Saccharomyces cerevisiae S288C: one gene and its partner. Each later gene encodes a partner of the first gene's protein in a complex. Each region holds a gene or a part of one and is shown on either strand. Other genes may lie near its edges. The genes, in order: EPO1 and BEM3. A codon is read from its position in the direction of its gene.

What was found.
Region 2: the proteins of EPO1 (region 1) and BEM3 are in contact, whole or in part, in a crystal structure (PDB 6LP3), measured with the Saccharomyces cerevisiae proteins. Residues at the interface, in NP_013843.1 of Saccharomyces cerevisiae: Asp870, Lys873, Glu874, Lys877, Lys878, Lys881, Gln884, Leu885, Gln888, Leu889, Glu892, Arg896, Glu900, Leu903, Glu907; in NP_015210.1 of Saccharomyces cerevisiae: Phe53 (codon at 5,157), Thr54 (codon at 5,160), Ile57 (codon at 5,169), Lys58 (codon at 5,172), Leu61 (codon at 5,181), Gln64 (codon at 5,190), Glu65 (codon at 5,193), Thr68 (codon at 5,202), Glu69 (codon at 5,205), Ser72 (codon at 5,214), Leu73 (codon at 5,217), Val76 (codon at 5,226), Met79 (codon at 5,235), Asn83 (codon at 5,247), Ser87 (codon at 5,259), Val90 (codon at 5,268).

The regions. Positions count from the first base shown.
Region 1 is NC_001145.3:509,903-518,822, forward strand, and holds EPO1 (Epo1p), read left to right. Parts: upstream 1-4,553; coding exon 4,554-7,385; downstream 7,386-8,920. Other genes in the region: 60S ribosomal protein eL15 RPL15B, read right to left, coding at 1-446; YMR122C (uncharacterized protein), read right to left, coding at 799-1,173; NCW1 (Ncw1p), read left to right, coding at 1,413-1,667; PKR1 (Pkr1p), read left to right, coding at 3,691-4,059; STO1 (Sto1p), read left to right, coding at 7,637-7,661, 7,984-8,920.
Region 2 is NC_001148.4:331,567-340,486, reverse strand, and holds BEM3 (GTPase-activating protein BEM3), read left to right. Parts: upstream 1-5,000; coding exon 5,001-8,387; downstream 8,388-8,920. Other genes in the region: CAR1 (arginase), read right to left, coding at 1-543; PEX25 (Pex25p), read left to right, coding at 1,867-3,051; YPL113C (glyoxylate reductase), read left to right, coding at 3,344-4,534; HOS3 (histone deacetylase), read right to left, coding at 8,788-8,920. UniProt on the Saccharomyces cerevisiae protein: GTPase-activating protein (GAP) for CDC42 and less efficiently for RHO1. Negative regulator of the pheromone-response pathway through the STE20 protein kinase.

The DNA of each region.
Region 1 (8,920 bases):
TTGTACCGAGCATCTCTTCTGATAGCCTTGTGTTGAGGATCAACCAATATAACTTCGAAGTACTTGTAAGTAGAGTCTTGGTTGACCCAGTAGGAGTTCAAGACTCTCAAGTTAGCAGCACGACGGCCAACTCTTTCTTCAGCGGTAGCTCTCAAGGATCTTTGGTATTTCAATTCATTGACACCTTGGTTAGTTGGCTTACCGTAAGTAGCACCCTTTGGAACAGGTCTCTTTCTGTTACCGCGTCTAACCCTGACACGGTAGATAACGAAACCTTGCTTGGCTTTGTAGCCTAGTCTCCTAGCCTTGTCTGGTCTAGTTGGTCTAGCGGCTCTGTGAATGACATTTTTTTGTCTGTATTCCCAGACCCTGACTCTTTGCAAGAATCTCAAAACATCAGATTGCTTCTTTCTTTCTAATTCTTCTAAATATTTGTAGGCTCCCATTGCTTGTGTGGTAGGTAATTTGTGACTGTCTTTACGGTAGCTTTCGCCGATTACTATTGCCGCTAACTTCTCAAGAGTGAATGAAATTATCAATGGCTCCGGTTAATTGAAAACGTGGAAAAGTATCGAAAGGAACAAGAAAGATGTTTTCCGGGTAACGACATATGGAGCATCAAGACAGATACATCTCTACTGACTACATGTTTGTATCATCATTTGAAGAGATTGGAGAAGTATTCTAGCAATCGGTGCAAAAAATAAGAGTAAAGAAAAAAGACGTTTGTTTCCTTAAAGGAGCTGGAGGAGCCTGTTTTGGATAGCGGCGTAGTCGCTTTATTAATTTGGTTATACTTTAAACGCAAAGATGGCAGTACGAAACCAGCAATGCAGTGATTATATATTCCCTACTAAGGAAAGTTGCGCATCCAATGGGAAACATTTTCCTGATCTGTACCTTTGGCAACCTGAATATGCGGTTGGCTGGCAAATAAGGTAGCGTGGAGGCGGTGTTTTTGCCACAAACCAGTACGCCCAATCTATCCCTGCGAGCCACCGTAATGATGCAAATTGCAGTAAAGCAGCGCTTAGCCTCCAGCCGAAATTTACTTCCGTCGAATGCACGTTGGCCAGAATGTCTCTCGTCCCCCTTGTGCTGCGCAAATAACAACGCGTTGGTGCGTTCTGGAACGCGAAGATTGCGAAACACGCCTCCGAACTGACGTAGCATAGAGTCTTTCACAGTATTGCCTAATGCGGAAATCACATTGCCATATTGGTGAAAAATACAATGGCTAGTTTGATCTATTTTTGGGTTATGGTGTCTCGAGCGTAAAAAGTGAAAAAAAAGTATATAAACGATCTGAATTTAAGGCAGAATTCTGTTTGCCGCTCTCAGAATGTACTGTTAATTACTGAGGTCTCCATCAAACACAAACCCCAACCTAATCGCAAATAACCTGAATAAAAATGGCCAGCAGTACTTCCACTTCCGCTTCCGCTTCCTCCTCCATCAAAACTAACAGTGCCTTAGTTTCCAACAATGTCGTTGCCGCCTCTTCCGTCTCTGCTACTTCTACTGCTAGTTCCAGTGCCGCTAAGAACACTACTTCCAGTTCAAAGAACGCTGCTCCAGGCATGGTTGCAAACCCTGTTTCCTCGAAGTACGGTATCATCATGGCCGCATTTGCTGCTGTTTCTTTCGTCCTAGGCACCGGTATTTAAGAAGTTTCTAAAAGCCTTTTTTTTTCCTTCTGCTTATTGTACTATCAAAGGGAACGATTGATTAACAGAAAAATTACATAAAAATCATATCATAATGGACTCGCGGTTGACGCCTAGTTAAACCAATGAAGAGGTGGGCGAACTTGTGGGAGTTATATATATTTAGGCCAATTGGGCCATTGCATGTTTCCTATAATATATTTTAATATAAAAATTTATTTATTAATACAGCAACTCATTAGATTAATCGAGTGGTGGTAAGGCTTTTTTTGCTCGCAATGCGAGCACGTGACAGAAAGTGAGAATGAACGTCTGACATTGCTAGTGTCACGTTCAGAAAACGAGAAGACGGGTAAAACAAAAATATTGATGATTGTTGGTTAGCAATATCAAATTCATTGAAGGAGGTCACAACCGCGAGAGAAAGTAAGATGTCATGTTTTTGAATATGAACCTGGAGCTCGCATATAACTCTTTCCAGTGGCACCTTTAGATTTATTTTAACTCTGAAATGTAGGTTTTTTTTTTTTTAGACAAGTCACGATAAGTAGTTGTTGTTAGCGACTTTATTCACAGCATTTTTTTATGTAGCATTTGTAGAAATAGGGGAATTATATCGGAGTACTCAAGAAACTAACGGGCTTCTGAGTAAAGGGGCTTCCCGATGTAATGGCATCCAAGGTACTTATCTAACTGATTTTTGATTGGAAGAAACATTTAGAATGCAACCTCAATTGTGGGCAATTACGACCAATGACAGCCAAATCCAGTAAGGTTTCAAAGGGATAATTTACTGAGAAAACAGATTTACTATTCTGGAGGCAGGAGTGATATATTCTTATTCTTCCTATCCATGGGAATAACGATGCACTTTTTTATGGGTAAGGTGTGCTCCCAGTTTTTCTTACCAAGAAGTGTGCAATTGGTACGGTAATATCGTATTTGTTTGCACTGATGTACCCACGCTTTAGCCATTTAAGTTATTACGAATCTACTCTGTCTATTTTTTTTTTACCAACTCCCTACCCAGAGGGAAAATGCGTATGCAATCTAAAATACTTTATTTCCCATTCCGTGCCTTAGGCAAACACAAATGGATTTTGGCTGCATACCGAGGGGTCTAGGTGGTGATGAGGTCGCTACAACCCAGGATGGTTATCTCGTTTCTTCGAATTTCCGCAGCAAAGAGGACCCTTATTGCAGGGATGGAACCTTTTCTGCACAAAGCAAAATCCTCAGGATGTTTCTCTCCTCTGTCTTTCTTTGCCGAGCTCCATCGTGCTAGCGCATCGGACAGGAAGCAGTGAAATACAAGAAAAGTATACAAGCAGTATTCCTGCTCAAGAACCCAGTTTTCAGTTATAGTTTCCACTCCTTTCAATAGATGGGAAACTATATATCCATTAACTAAAATGGCCAGTCAGACTATCTCTTCTCCTCACTAGTGCCTAATCTCTGGTGTCGCCACTCCTGCTGCTGCTAATTATAAGGGCAAAGTCAGACCATCACTTACATTGAGGTGAATATTAAAACCAGTGAAGGTTCTGTTTTTCTCGGGAGTATTTCCGGCAGTAACACCGTTACTTATACCAAAGAGAATTTTTCTGTTGGTATGATTACTGACCCTGTCTGCTCGAAGCACGGTATCATCATTTACCGTTGTTTCTTTCGTCCTAGATATCGGTGTCTCAGAAACTCCAATTGAAGATGTACAGGTGATTAATTACGTCTTTTTATCAATCTATTTACCTATATATTTCAATTTTGATTTTTATTTGGCGAGTGACATGTGAAAACTTTGCCTATGAACCTGAATAGCGCATTCATATTTTAAGAACATGGTAGGGTATAGCAGATGTTCTTTAATTTTCTTTGACTGCGTTTACCCGGCGTTTTTTGCTTGACTGAAAATCAAATGAAGAAAAATAGAGATGGTCTTTTCTTTTTGTCATATCCAAGAACACGTCCATCTAATTGATTAGTGCCAAAAATCGCAGGGATATAACTTCGAAAATTTCTCAAAATGGCCAATTTTTTTGTTAGACTGTGGGAAAGTGTATTTGAACCAGGGACCTCCCCCCAGCTGATCATCGCCACACACGTATCTTTTGTTGCACTACTACTGACCCTCATCTGGCTCATCTATGCCACAAACGGGAATATCCACTTCTATGCTCTTTTCTGTATATCACTTTTACTATGGATTACCGTTATCTGGTTTATAAACGAATTATCACACGTCAAATTGAAGGATAATGATGAGCTGGATAAAGATGCCAATAAAAAGGACGACAGTGCCATCAAGGAAGACAGCGAAGACAAGCAAGAAAGCGGGAAATCCACTAGTACTGCCAGACGGACTCAAGCACAATCTAGGTCAAGAAAAGCATAGACAGATACATAATTGACTACATAATTATCTCTGTTATTAGTATATCACAGAGCTTCCGGGTAAATGTCCGCAATTGTAAATTTTTTTGTCCGCTTCAGGGTCTCCCCTGATATTTTTTTTTTTTCAAAAATTCCTTTTTTTTAAATCAAATTTTGGGCTCAATTATGGACAAATGAAGCACATGCAAAGAGTTAACGCGTGCGACTGAATAGAACAACTCTTTCAGCATCGCAAACCCTTCAAATTGTGAATAAATAGGCATTTCAAGTAACTGTGTCAGCAGCACATTGCATAGGAATTCTGATTTTTTGTTTTAGTGACTGCCCTCCTAATTTTTTTTTTTTTAGTTTACGGCTATAGCTAAATTTGGAGCTTTCTTTCATTAATTTTCACCGAGCTATTAATAACCCTACAAAAAGAGCAGAGAGGTACAGCCTGATCCGATAAAGCAGTGGGATAAAAAGTACTCAAAGACTATTTATAAAAAGTTCAAAATGGATGCAGGTTTATCGACCATGGCAACAAGAAACGGTCAGTCTTCTGCTAGAGTTAAATTGAGAAATAACCTCTTGAATAATGATATAGGAAATATTGACATTAGGGATGAAACACCTATTTCAAGGAACGGGAATGACAGCAATATTAACATCCAGCCTTCTTCCGTGCCGCAGCAGCAGCAGCAGCAGCAGCAATACTACCGTAATGGCATGAATGAGGCTCCAATACAAGCGCCACTTCAACAACGTCAAATTCCCATGCAGAATTATTCACAACAGCAACGCCAGCAACAACAGTATAATTTTGAGTATTCCAATCCACATATGAATGAGATTCCCCTCATGCAGCATAACTTCACCAAACCATCACTAAGCAATAATCGCGATAATGTTAATGGTAAGAAAGCTTCCTCATTTACCCAGAGCTCATTTTCCAATTTTTTCAAACATAAGCATCAATTTGGGAAGTCAAAGAAAAACACTAAGGGGACAGGAGGTGGTGGAGATGGTGATGATGACGATGAGGTTATCTTGGATGATTCTGCAAACTCCGACCTAACATTCAATGACATTCAGACCTTCGGTCACAAGGGCGGTGACAAATATGGATATGGTGGTGATTCCACTCCTATCATTCCAACATTGGTGACTAAAGACCGCGGCAATATGAGTAATACTGAGTATAGGAAGTACATTACTAATCAAAGGAAAACCGCAATGAATGCCATGGCTAAACAAACTAAAAATGGTACATTAGCCTCGTTGCCTCCGAGAGCAATGTCTTTGCAAAGTTTCCCGAATGGTAATCCTTTAATGCAAGCACCCACTCCTCATCCTAGATTTCAACCGAATAAAATGGTGAGCGCTAATTATTCGAGATCAAATTCGTTGATGAGTGGACCTCCCGGACAATTTCGACAGCCGCAGCAACAAAGAATGCTACCGATGAACAACTACAACAATCACCCAGGTCAATTCCAGAATACCCCACCAGTAATGCCCTCTGGACAACAGCCACCTCAGCAACCACGTACTCTGTCATTAACTAATGGCCCAAGATATTCACCCCAAAATCCTCGGCCATTCGCAGGTCATCAGCAGATATCACAAAGACAACAACAACAACAACAACAACTTCAACTTCATCCAATGTCTGAAGGCTATCGGACAATGTCTCTACAAAGTCAGAACGTTCCCCAAGGGTTTAATCCATGGTCACCAAATGACAACGATCGTAAAGCTGTGTCCATGAAACAGCCAATCAGTCAATCGTCAATTTCCTCAAAGAATAATTCAGCTTATTCAATACCGAACGTACAAAACAACTCCCTGACTACATTCTCTCCGTCATCTCCTACTGATGCTACAGCAATGCCTAACTCTACAAAACAAGGATCTTCACCACTAAAAAAACAAGTGAACATTGATCAACCTATTGAAAACAAGGGAAAACTGAATGTTTTGCAATTATCCACTCCTCAACAAAACGAGTTAAAGGAAAAAGAAAGGAAGCTAGCTGAAATGGAAAAATCTTTACGTGAGAGAGAAGCACTAGTAGAAGAAAAAGAAAAGGAAAGAGCTGAGAAAAATACTGAAGCAAATGAAGAGGAGGAAATTTCACATGAATCAGACGATTTAAATTTAAGACCTGCGAGTGCGCTAGAGACTGGTTTAAAAGATCTTAAATTGGAAAGTGAAAGTGCAGTCGCCAATAGAGCGTCCTTGTCGACTTTCTCATCCACATTTAGTGATTCTCCCTCCAAGCAAAGAATCATCAATACCAGAACAGGTATGTATAAGCTAGAAAACTCTACTGATATCAATGAATACGTGACCGCACAAGAATTCCCCTCTCCCGGAAAGTATAACTCAAATTCGGATAATGGCGAAATGAATACAACGAACGAGGTCGATTTTGATTTCAATACTAGTAAAAGGGCTTCTTTGTTACAATCCATACCGGAAAGAGATCCCAAAAGAAATGTCTCAGATGCTACCATTAAGCGACGTGAATCCGATGGCAATGGCAGGAGACTAAGTAATGTCAACATATCCATGAACCAGGAAAACATCAACAATGATACTTTTCTATATAAAAAAAATAATCGCGATGGTCATTTATCAGCAGTTTCTCATATGTCCAGCTCTTCCCGTAGATCGTTCATCTCCAATACGCTGCCGTTGAATATTGATTCCGCCTCAGAATCTGATAATTTTGTACCGCATATGGATGGTTCACCCTCCAAAACAAAATCAGCCCCAGTTAGCTACGATAAGGATGGCATGAATGCTTCAGAAGAAGACTTCAGTTTTGATAATACTTTAGCCAAACCGTATGAACCGTTATATGCTAGGAGAGGAGACATAACTTCCGCCGGATCAACTAGTGGAGAAGATAGCTCTCAGCCAAAGATGATAACAATATCTGGTGAGCAATTGAATTTGATAACAGAAAACAAAGAATTAATGAATGAGTTGACACTGGTGTCTACAGAATTAGCAGAATCGATAAAAAGGGAAACTGAATTAGAAGAAAGAATACGGCTGTATGAAACCAATAATTCAGCACCATCTTTTGACGATTCTTCGAGTGTGTCTTTTTCTGACTTTGAAAAGGAACTGAGAAAAAAATCCAGTAAAATTGTGCAATTGATCCAGCAATTAAATGACGAGAGATTAAAGAGATTCATTGCGGAGGAGCAGTTATTACTCCAAGAAAATGGCACCAAACCAAGTTCTATGGAACTAGTAGGAAGAATTGAAAACTTGAATAAACTTATTGATGAGAGAGATTCAGAAATTGAAATGCTTAAAGGACGTTTACAGTAGATGAATGATGTATTTTATTGTATATATCGCTTAGTGCACCAAAATCATACTACGTAAGTATAAAATCACTTTACACGTAGAAGATGCTTTTTCAGATTGTTCTTGAAAAAGTTGAAAAAAATATAATTCACACTCAGCAACAGGTGAAAGTGTATAATGGGTAAAAAAGGAAGGACAGAAGGTATATTGCTAATCAAAACGACTTTGGTATACGCGTTTGGGGCTACAATTGCATTTTAAATATATTTAAGATGTTTAATAGAAAAAGAAGAGGAGGTATGTTTTAAAACCAATGTTTTCCAGAAGTTTCGTTCTAGAGTGTGTATATCAAGACCAATTAGGATGGTATTTCCATTTTTTGTCAGTTAGTACGGTGTGACAGAAAAGTGTACTTTTGTGGCACAGAGAAGTGGAGAAACGGTACACGTAGAATACATAACGGCAAGTAACCTCTCTTATTTTACTCTCCATCTTTACTTTGTTTTACATTCCTAGGATTATTAGGTTAGCTTGGTTTTACAAAAACTCAATTATTCAGTTTCATTCAAATTACTAACATACCCAACTTTGACTACCTTGCATATGATTTTACCGTTAGACTTCGATGAAGATGAAAATTACCGTGATTTTAGGCCTCGCATGCCTAAAAGACAGAGAATCCCACCTGTTGTACAACTGTGTAAAGAAATGATGCCCGATATTCGCACTATTGGTGAATCTGTTAAAGCTTTTGAAGATGATATCAAATTCTTGAGTGAAGCTATAATGAATGAGTATGGCCATGAGGACTACTTTAATAATGCTTTACTGAGCACTTTAAACGCTGTTGTTGTGGAGCAACCACAGAAGCAAGCTGCTATCGCTCTCTTAACCATGGTTGTTAATTCGAAAAATAATGTTGCCGGAAAGAGTATTATCAATTACTTCTTCGAAGAATTACAAAAATGGTGCAAGCAAACATATAATGATGAATTCAAGAGTACGTCAAATGAAACTGGGCCATGGAACAAGATCAAGTTAATCCTGAGATTTTTATCCATTCTATCGCCCATGTTTTTAGTTGATGAACTAATCAATATCTACAAGAGCTTATTTGAATTGAGTATCGAATTAAACAATCTGGATCCAGGTAACAGAGTTCCTTTATCTGAAGCAATTTACACCAATACATTATTAAATATCCCGTATTTGTTCTTTTTTAATAGGAATAATGACGGTTTGAGGACAAAAGTGGAGGAGTTACTTGCATACGTTGAACAAAACTATCTAGTTAAAACAACGGATATAAACCTATTAAGAGAATACAATGGTGAACCTCCATATGAAATGGTAGAACTTGTCCGAGTCGTATTACCAAACGTCAAGAAGGCGCTAATCAATAACTTGGAACAGCTGAATGAATTATTTCCTGATTGGAATCATTTATTAACTCCCCAAACCGGTGATGAAGGGTTCAATGACGCTTTAACCCTTCCATCAGTAGATGATCTAAAGTCTTTCGTGCGCTTGAATAAAAACTTTGGTTCAGTTGATAG
Region 2 (8,920 bases), on another chromosome or scaffold:
GGGACAATGTGGGACATCCTTGTTCAAACCCATTAGGAATGACACGGGACAGCCGTGCAAGTTTCCAGAGGGGGTGCTTTCTATGGTGTTTATATCAGCGTGGGCGTCTATCCATAAAAGACCAGCATCGGGGTATTTGTCCAAAACCGCGGATACAGTACCAATGGCTATTGAATGATCACCACCCAAGGTCAAGGGGAATCTGTTCGCCTGGACCACTTTCGACACGGAGTTGTACACCAACTTGGTGGCTTCACCAACCAAATCTGCTCTTTTAGCCTTGACACCGTCTATCATAACAGAGGAACCCCCAGTTGTGGAGTCCTTCTCCATTTTCAACTTTCCCACAAATTGGGCCTCGTCCATTGAGGGCTCTAATTCCGTAGACCAGCCCAAATCCTCTATGCTTGTTTGCAGACCATGCTTAAGCATGTATTTAGGGCCCTTCTCGACACCAAGCTTACCCTGACCGCCGCTGAATGGAGCCAGAACGATGGACAATTCGCGATTTTTGTAGTAGTTGTAATGAGGTCCTGTTTCCATCTTGATAGTAGTTATTGTTATTGATATAGTTGTTGTTGTTGTTTCTGCTAACTTTGAGAAAACATATACAGACCAAGAGAAGAGAAACAGTCTTAGATCTTGATAGAAAGTGGGCCGCAAGCTCTGCTTATATACTCTTTAGACCCCTCGGCGGCTACCGCTAAGTGAAAAATTCAGCGAGCGGCGATGCGCTGTTGATTGCCATTAGCAGCACGGTGCTTTGCGAAGGGCAAGAGCTAGAGACTATTCGCACTAGCCGATATTTTCGCGGCGTCTCGGCTTCTTGTAAGGGATAGAAAAAAACTGTTAATGGAAGGAGCAATCAAAGGGCGGGGATCGCGGGCGACGGTGCGGCATCGAAAAAGTGAAGAACCAGTAAAAATAGAGGTGGGGTTTATCAGTGTTGATATCTAAGTTTATGATAAACATTGATGAGTCAGGGATTGCACCCGTAGTTCATCCGTATGATGTGATGTTGTTTGTTTTTGTTTCATGTAAGGTTGCTAGAATAGGGTCCTGTCAGACAGTATGCGTAGCTTTACCATCATTTCGCCGCTATATGTGAAGGGCCGTAAATTGGATATACGGTATGTAAAAATCAGCGGAATATTATGATGAGAAGTGAGAAAATTGAAGTCAGTAATCTTGGATATTCAGAACTGTCAATCCTCAGTTTGGCCAATTTTATTTAATTTGTTAATAGCAGAACTTACCGGGCGGTCCAGTTTTGCCTACACGGTTTGGTATAAAGTTTAAAAAGCATATATACGAGCTAGATGAAGTATCCAATAGAGTTTTTCTCACGATGGTATTGGAATAGCTTCCTTGAAAGGTAACTACATACAGTGTCGAGGAAAAATAGACAATTACTTAAAGGAGTAAATGTTACTATACCTGAAAGAAATTAAGAGTCGCCATGCGTAGCAGTAATCACAACCGACATCGGGGAAGAGTGAGGGGAGCAAATTGGATGTAAATATTTTGGTGAATTTGCTCGGTACGCGCTAAACTCACATGATTTAGCAGCGCCGTGGCGCAGTGGAAGCGCGCAGGGCTCATAACCCTGATGTCCTCGGATCGAAACCGAGCGGCGCTAAATTTATTTTTTTCTTTTTACTCTTCATTTTTTTTCCAGGTCGGTGATAGTATATGAAATTCCGGTGGGATTGGGCTTATTATTTCAGGTTATATAATTTTTGAAATACGTTTTTCTTCTTTCTTCTCAGAATCATCGGTAATTTGTATGCTGGAGAAAGTAACAAATAGAGTCGATATCCTCAACTTCCCTGTAAGTCTTCACCTATAGAAACTGGTCGTAAAACAATGAGTCAGTTTGGCACGACAGATATCGTTTCCGGTTCAGAAACACCACCTTATTCTGGGGCAAGTTACCAGGACGCCCAGGATGACAATACCCATCCACATTCATCAGACGCCGGTGCAGAGAAGTTCAGTGCAGGCAGTGGAAGCGAGTCGCATACTGAATCCTCGAGAAGTGATGATGAGGATTCTCAAGCAAAAACAAAGATGGTGGATAATATTACCATCTTAAAATATATATTGGATTCTCTATCTGGTAGAGACAAATTAGCCAAAATTATCAAATACGCTCTGGATATATTAAAACTGTTTATCGAAAAGTCTAAGCGAAATTTAACTGTTTTGGACCCTTCCGTATTAACGTACTATACCAAGATTTTGAAAAATCTGACTGTAAAAGTCGCACTAAGGCATCCAATCACGGTAATTAAAGTACTTCTCCTGTCTCTTTTGAGAAATTTTGACAAGAAAATTGATTTTATCAGTCAACAATTAAGTACTTTTAGATATATTTTAAGGTTTGGCGGCACACCATTCCGAGTGTGCAGTTTCTTGGGGAAATTCAATAAAACCAGAAAGTGCAACTTTCAAATTGACCAAATTAAGAAAATATGGTTTAATGAAGCTTCATTGAGAGAATTTTTGGACTTGTATTATGGTATCTTTGATGAATTAGACTTGCTATACAAATTGAAAATATGGACAAATAAATCATTCTATTCCTTTGTCAGTAGACAAGAGTCTCTTGCATGGCAATACGACATTCTTTTAAGCTTGAAGGACCATTGGCTCAACCTGCAAAGCTTACAGAAGAGACAATTAGAATTGGAAGTGCAACTAAAAGTTCAAAATAACGCGTTACTACTCTCACCCATACTGATGCATCAGGCCCATAAAGACGATGGCTCACAATCGCCAATTAGGAAACAGTTGTTAAATGACCTAAATGTTAATAACGACGCAGAGGTGTTAATACACAAACAACTAAAGGCCATCAAGGATGAAAAGACACTTGTTTATTTAGATATTGCAAGATTATCGTTTGATTGCATGGCTAATACATCAGATATTCTAAATTTAAAAACTCCAAAGGGAACGTATGCCGTTCTGTCCCTGGGATCCGGCTTAACTGGACTGGTTAAACTTTGGATAACAACAAAGAGGTCACTTTGCTCTTCAAAAGATTGATATATAAAAATATGTATACATATAGATATGTACATATATATGTGGCGAATAATGTTTTACCTCTGCATTTGTATTGTTATTTGATTCGTTGAATAAGATAGTTTGGCGCTCGGTTTTTGCTCTTTTTCTTCCGTTTTTATGTCATTGGGGTGGCGGTAGTCATTCCGTTTTACGGTATGTTTATTCTGACACTTTGACGCAGATCTAAAAGGTGGAGTGTGGAGTACAAATAGCTCTCTCTCAAATACAGAAAAATACTTGAGTGTACAAAAGTAGCAACCTTTAAATAACAATGATTACTTCAATTGACATAGCAGATGTAACTTATTCTGCCAAACCAAGAATTTTGGTGCCTTATAAAACCCAATGGGAAGTCGCCAGTCATCTTCCTGAATATCGCAAACTGGCAGAAAGGGTAGAATTCTATAAATATGAGATGTCCACAAAGGATGATTTTGTTAAATTTTTGGAAACTCATAGAATAAACGGCTTTTGGCTCACTGAGGAGTTTTTCACTGTGTTAGGAAACCCTTCGAGTTATATTGAATTCTTCCCCGCATCTTTAAAAGTAATCCTTGTACCATGGGTCGGCTGTGACTTTATTGACGGTAAGTTATTAAGATCGAAAGGTATCACTTTATGCAACATTGGACCACATGCTGCTGACCATGTCACAGAATTGGCTATTTTCCTAGCAATTAGCTGCTTTAGAATGACTTCATTTTGGGAATATTGTTTTAAATACGTGGAAAATGGTAATGTTGAACAGTGTAAGAAATATATCTCTAGTGACTCGTATGAAATTGTTACAGATAGTTACCACGGTCAGGAAATGAAATTTCCCTCTCGAACAGACAAATGCAAGCCTAACAAGGATAGGAAAGTGGTACATTTAGCAGAAAAGTACACGGTTGGCGGGAAAAAAATGGAATCTCCAATGAATAAAAAAGTTCTAATATTGGGGTTTGGCTCCATCGGACAAAATATAGGGTCTAACTTGCACAAAGTGTTCAACATGAGCATTGAATACTACAAAAGGACCGGTCCCGTCCAAAAGAGTCTACTTGATTACAACGCTAAGTACCATTCTGATCTAGATGATCCAAATACTTGGAAGAATGCGGATTTGATCATTTTGGCCTTGCCCAGTACGGCCTCTACAAACAATATTATCAATCGTAAAAGTTTGGCCTGGTGTAAAGATGGTGTCAGGATAGTTAACGTTGGGAGAGGCACATGCATAGATGAAGATGTGCTACTAGACGCTCTTGAATCTGGAAAAGTGGCAAGCTGTGGTCTCGATGTGTTTAAAAATGAGGAAACACGCGTTAAGCAAGAGTTACTTCGCAGATGGGATGTTACAGCTTTGCCACATATCGGCAGCACAGTTGCCGACATGGTCATAAAGCAGACACTCATCACACTCGAGAATGTGCAGGACATATTTGTCGAGGGAGGTGATGGTAAGTATGTGCTCAACTGAACCATTCATTATGTTACAAAGATAGCATTTCAATTAGGATTACATACGTATATGCATTGCTCTTTATACCACAACTCTAAGAATGTCGAAAGTTATATGGCGGCGGTGATGTTGGAAAAAAAACGCGGCCGTTTTATAAAGAACAATAATCGTCTGACTAGGTAAAGTACCAGATAAGAACCGTTTTTATTGCGCGTATTGGTATGTTTTTTAAACGGAATTTTTCAAGATTGTTAAATACATCAACGATATATCCATTTTAATCACCGTTTACCTTTGTGTGTTAGCTTTGTATCTGGAAGTTTTTTCTCTTTTCTTCTTTGTCCTTGCCTTCTACCATTTTGCCTTTTGTTCGAGTTCGTGATTACATCAGGCATATACAACATCACGTTTGTTGAAACACTGGCTGCTAGGAGTATCTGTGTGTATATTCTAGAATAAACTCACACTCAACTAACAGCACGCAATGACAGATAATTTGACCACAACTCATGGTGGTAGTACCACCCTTGAATTGTTGGCGCAGTACAATGATCATAGATCCAAAAAGGACAAATCTATAGAACATATAGAAAAAGGAACATGTTCAGGAAAAGAAAGAAATCCGTCCTATGATGAAATTTTTACGGAAAACATTAAGCTAAAGCTACAAGTCCAAGAATATGAAACTGAAATTGAGAGTTTGGAAAAGGTTATTGATATGTTACAAAAAAACAGAGAAGCTTCCTTAGAAGTTGTGCTTGAGCAAGTTCAAAATGACTCAAGAGATTCATACGTTAACGATCAATCATTTGTGTTACCCCCAAGATCTGCTGAAAGGAAAGCGCATATCAAGAGTCTTAATTTGCCAATACCGACATTGTCCCCTCCATTGCAACAAGGTTCAGACGTTGCACTTGAAACAAGTGTAACGCCTACAGTACCTCAAATAGGTGTTACATCAAATACTTCAATAAGTAGGAAGCATTTACAGAACATGATACTAAACGATGAAATAGAAGCAAATAGTAGCTTCTCATCTCCCAAAATTATCAATAGATCTGTCTCAAGCCCTACAAAAATACATTCAGAACAGTTGGCTAGCCCAGCTGCCTCTGTTACCTATACGACGTCTAGGATAACCATAAAATCACCTAATAAAGGTTCGAAATCTCCATTGCAAGAACGTTTGCGTTCCCCTCAAAATCCTAACAGAATGACGGCTGTTATCAACAACCATTTGCATTCTCCATTAAAGGCCAGTACCTCTAATAATTTAGATGAGCTGACTGAAAGTAAAAGTCAACAACTAACTAATGACGCGATACAAAAAAATGACCGCGTTTATTCTTCTATAACATCCTCTGCATACACTACTGGAACTCCTACTTCAGCAGCCAAAAGTCCATCATCCCTTTTGGAAGTCAAGGAGGGTGAAAACAAGGCTTTGGGTTTCTCTCCAGCATCTAAAGAAAAACTTGACGACTTCACCCAATTACTTGACTCCTCATTTGGCGAAGAGGATCTAGTCAATACGGACAGTAAAGATCCTCTGTCCATAAAATCCACGATTAACGAATCTTTACCCCCACCTCCAGCGCCTCCAACTTTTTTCTCACCTACTTCTAGTGGAAATATAAAAAACTCTACTCCTTTATCAAGCCATTTGGCTTCTCCGGTTATCTTGAATAAAAAGGATGATAATTTTGGTGCTCAAAGTGCAAAAAATTTAAAGAAACCTGTGTTAACTTCATCACTCCCCAATCTTTCTACAAAATTGTCAACAACAAGTCAAAATGCTTCTCTTCCTCCAAATCCTCCCGTGGAAAGTTCATCAAAACAAAAACAACTTGGAGAAACGGCATCCATCCATTCAACCAATACCTTGAATACATTTAGCTCAACACCCCAAGGTTCGTTGAAGACACTTAGAAGACCTCATGCAAGTAGCGTGAGCACCGTGAAGTCTGTGGCCCAAAGTCTTAAGTCGGATATTCCATTATTCGTTCAACCGGAGGATTTTGGCACTATCCAGATTGAAGTACTGAGCACATTGTACAGGGATAATGAAGATGATTTATCCATTTTAATTGCAATCATAGACAGGAAATCCGGTAAGGAGATGTTTAAATTTTCAAAATCTATTCATAAAGTTCGCGAATTAGATGTATATATGAAATCACATGTTCCCGATTTACCATTGCCCACGTTACCTGATAGACAATTATTTCAGACTTTATCACCTACAAAAGTGGATACGCGAAAGAACATATTGAATCAGTATTATACAAGCATATTCAGTGTCCCTGAATTTCCCAAAAATGTTGGTTTAAAAATCGCCCAATTTATTAGTACAGATACAGTAATGACACCTCCAATGATGGATGATAATGTGAAAGACGGATCACTTTTGCTGAGAAGACCAAAGACTCTAACAGGTAATAGTACATGGAGAGTTCGGTACGGTATTTTGCGCGATGATGTTTTACAATTGTTTGACAAAAATCAGTTGACTGAAACTATTAAATTGAGACAATCTTCTATAGAACTTATACCCAATCTCCCTGAAGATAGATTTGGAACGAGAAATGGGTTTTTGATCACTGAGCATAAGAAAAGCGGACTGTCAACCTCAACAAAGTATTATATTTGTACTGAAACGTCGAAGGAACGTGAATTATGGCTTTCTGCGTTTAGTGATTACATTGATCCTTCACAAAGTTTATCGTTATCTAGCTCGAGGAATGCAAACGATACTGATTCTGCATCTCACTTGAGCGCAGGAACACACCATTCTAAATTTGGAAACGCAACTATCTCAGCAACCGATACTCCATCATATGTCACTGATTTGACCCAAGAATATAATAATAATAACAATATTAGTAATAGTAGCAATAACATTGCTAATAGCGATGGTATTGACTCAAACCCATCTTCTCACTCTAACTTCCTAGCAAGTTCAAGCGGGAATGCAGAGGAGGAGAAGGATAGTAGGAGAGCCAAAATGAGAAGTTTATTCCCTTTTAAAAAATTAACCGGCCCGGCGAGTGCAATGAACCATATAGGTATTACAATTTCAAATGATTCGGATTCTCCAACATCTCCTGACTCTATCATTAAGTCACCAAGCAAAAAATTAATGGAAGTATCCTCTTCGTCAAATTCTTCTACGGGTCCACATGTGTCCACTGCAATATTTGGCTCGTCACTAGAAACGTGTTTAAGATTGAGTTCGCATAAGTACCAAAACGTTTACGATTTACCGAGTGTAGTTTATCGTTGCTTAGAGTATCTTTACAAAAACCGTGGTATCCAGGAAGAAGGCATATTTAGACTAAGCGGGTCCAGTACAGTTATCAAAACTTTACAAGAAAGGTTTGATAAAGAGTACGATGTAGATTTATGTCGGTACAATGAAAGTATTGAAGCTAAAGATGATGAGGCATCTCCAAGTCTTTACATTGGTGTGAATACTGTAAGTGGGTTACTAAAGTTGTACTTGAGAAAGTTGCCCCATTTATTATTTGGTGACGAACAATTTTTGTCGTTTAAAAGAGTAGTTGATGAAAATCATAATAATCCTGTTCAAATATCATTGGGGTTTAAGGAACTTATTGAATCTGGCCTAGTTCCTCACGCTAACCTATCGTTGATGTATGCTCTTTTTGAACTGCTGGTAAGGATCAATGAGAATAGTAAGTTTAATAAGATGAATCTAAGAAATTTATGCATCGTGTTTTCCCCAACTCTAAATATTCCAATTAGTATGCTTCAACCATTCATCACTGACTTTGCGTGTATATTTCAGGGTGGTGAACCAGTTAAAGAAGAGGAAAGGGAGAAAGTAGATATACATATTCCTCAGGTTTGATGGTCTAAAATTGTAGAAATATAACGTTGCCAGTAAACCTCCATTGATTTAATGATAGAAAGAGGGCGAGATGTATAGAGGCTTCTTTCTTTCAACGATATATTTGTAATAATAAAAAAATGTCAGGCTGATAAAGCTTATAGAGTGACTGTCTTTTTATTCCTCAAATGTTATTTACAATACCATATAATAAAATTAGTATATTGTCAAATAAAATAAGAGAAAAAAACTAACTTCTTGACCAAATGGTCGAAGAGCTGAGATAAAGAAGGAAAAAAATTAAAATTACTAACTATACAAGGAAATATAAAAATAGAAAAATTGTGTTACTAAATACAAAAAAGTAATATATGCGTCACTTCTTTAGTGGGTTCAAGACAACATTATATATGCATTGGTATCACCATCTTCCACCACTTCTTGTTGTATGTTTTCTTGAAACATGAGAAATCATTGATATATCACTATCGTCATAAGTTGGTGTATTTGCGTTTTGAGGCTGTCTTATGCGATGCGGTTTCGTATTGGAGGGA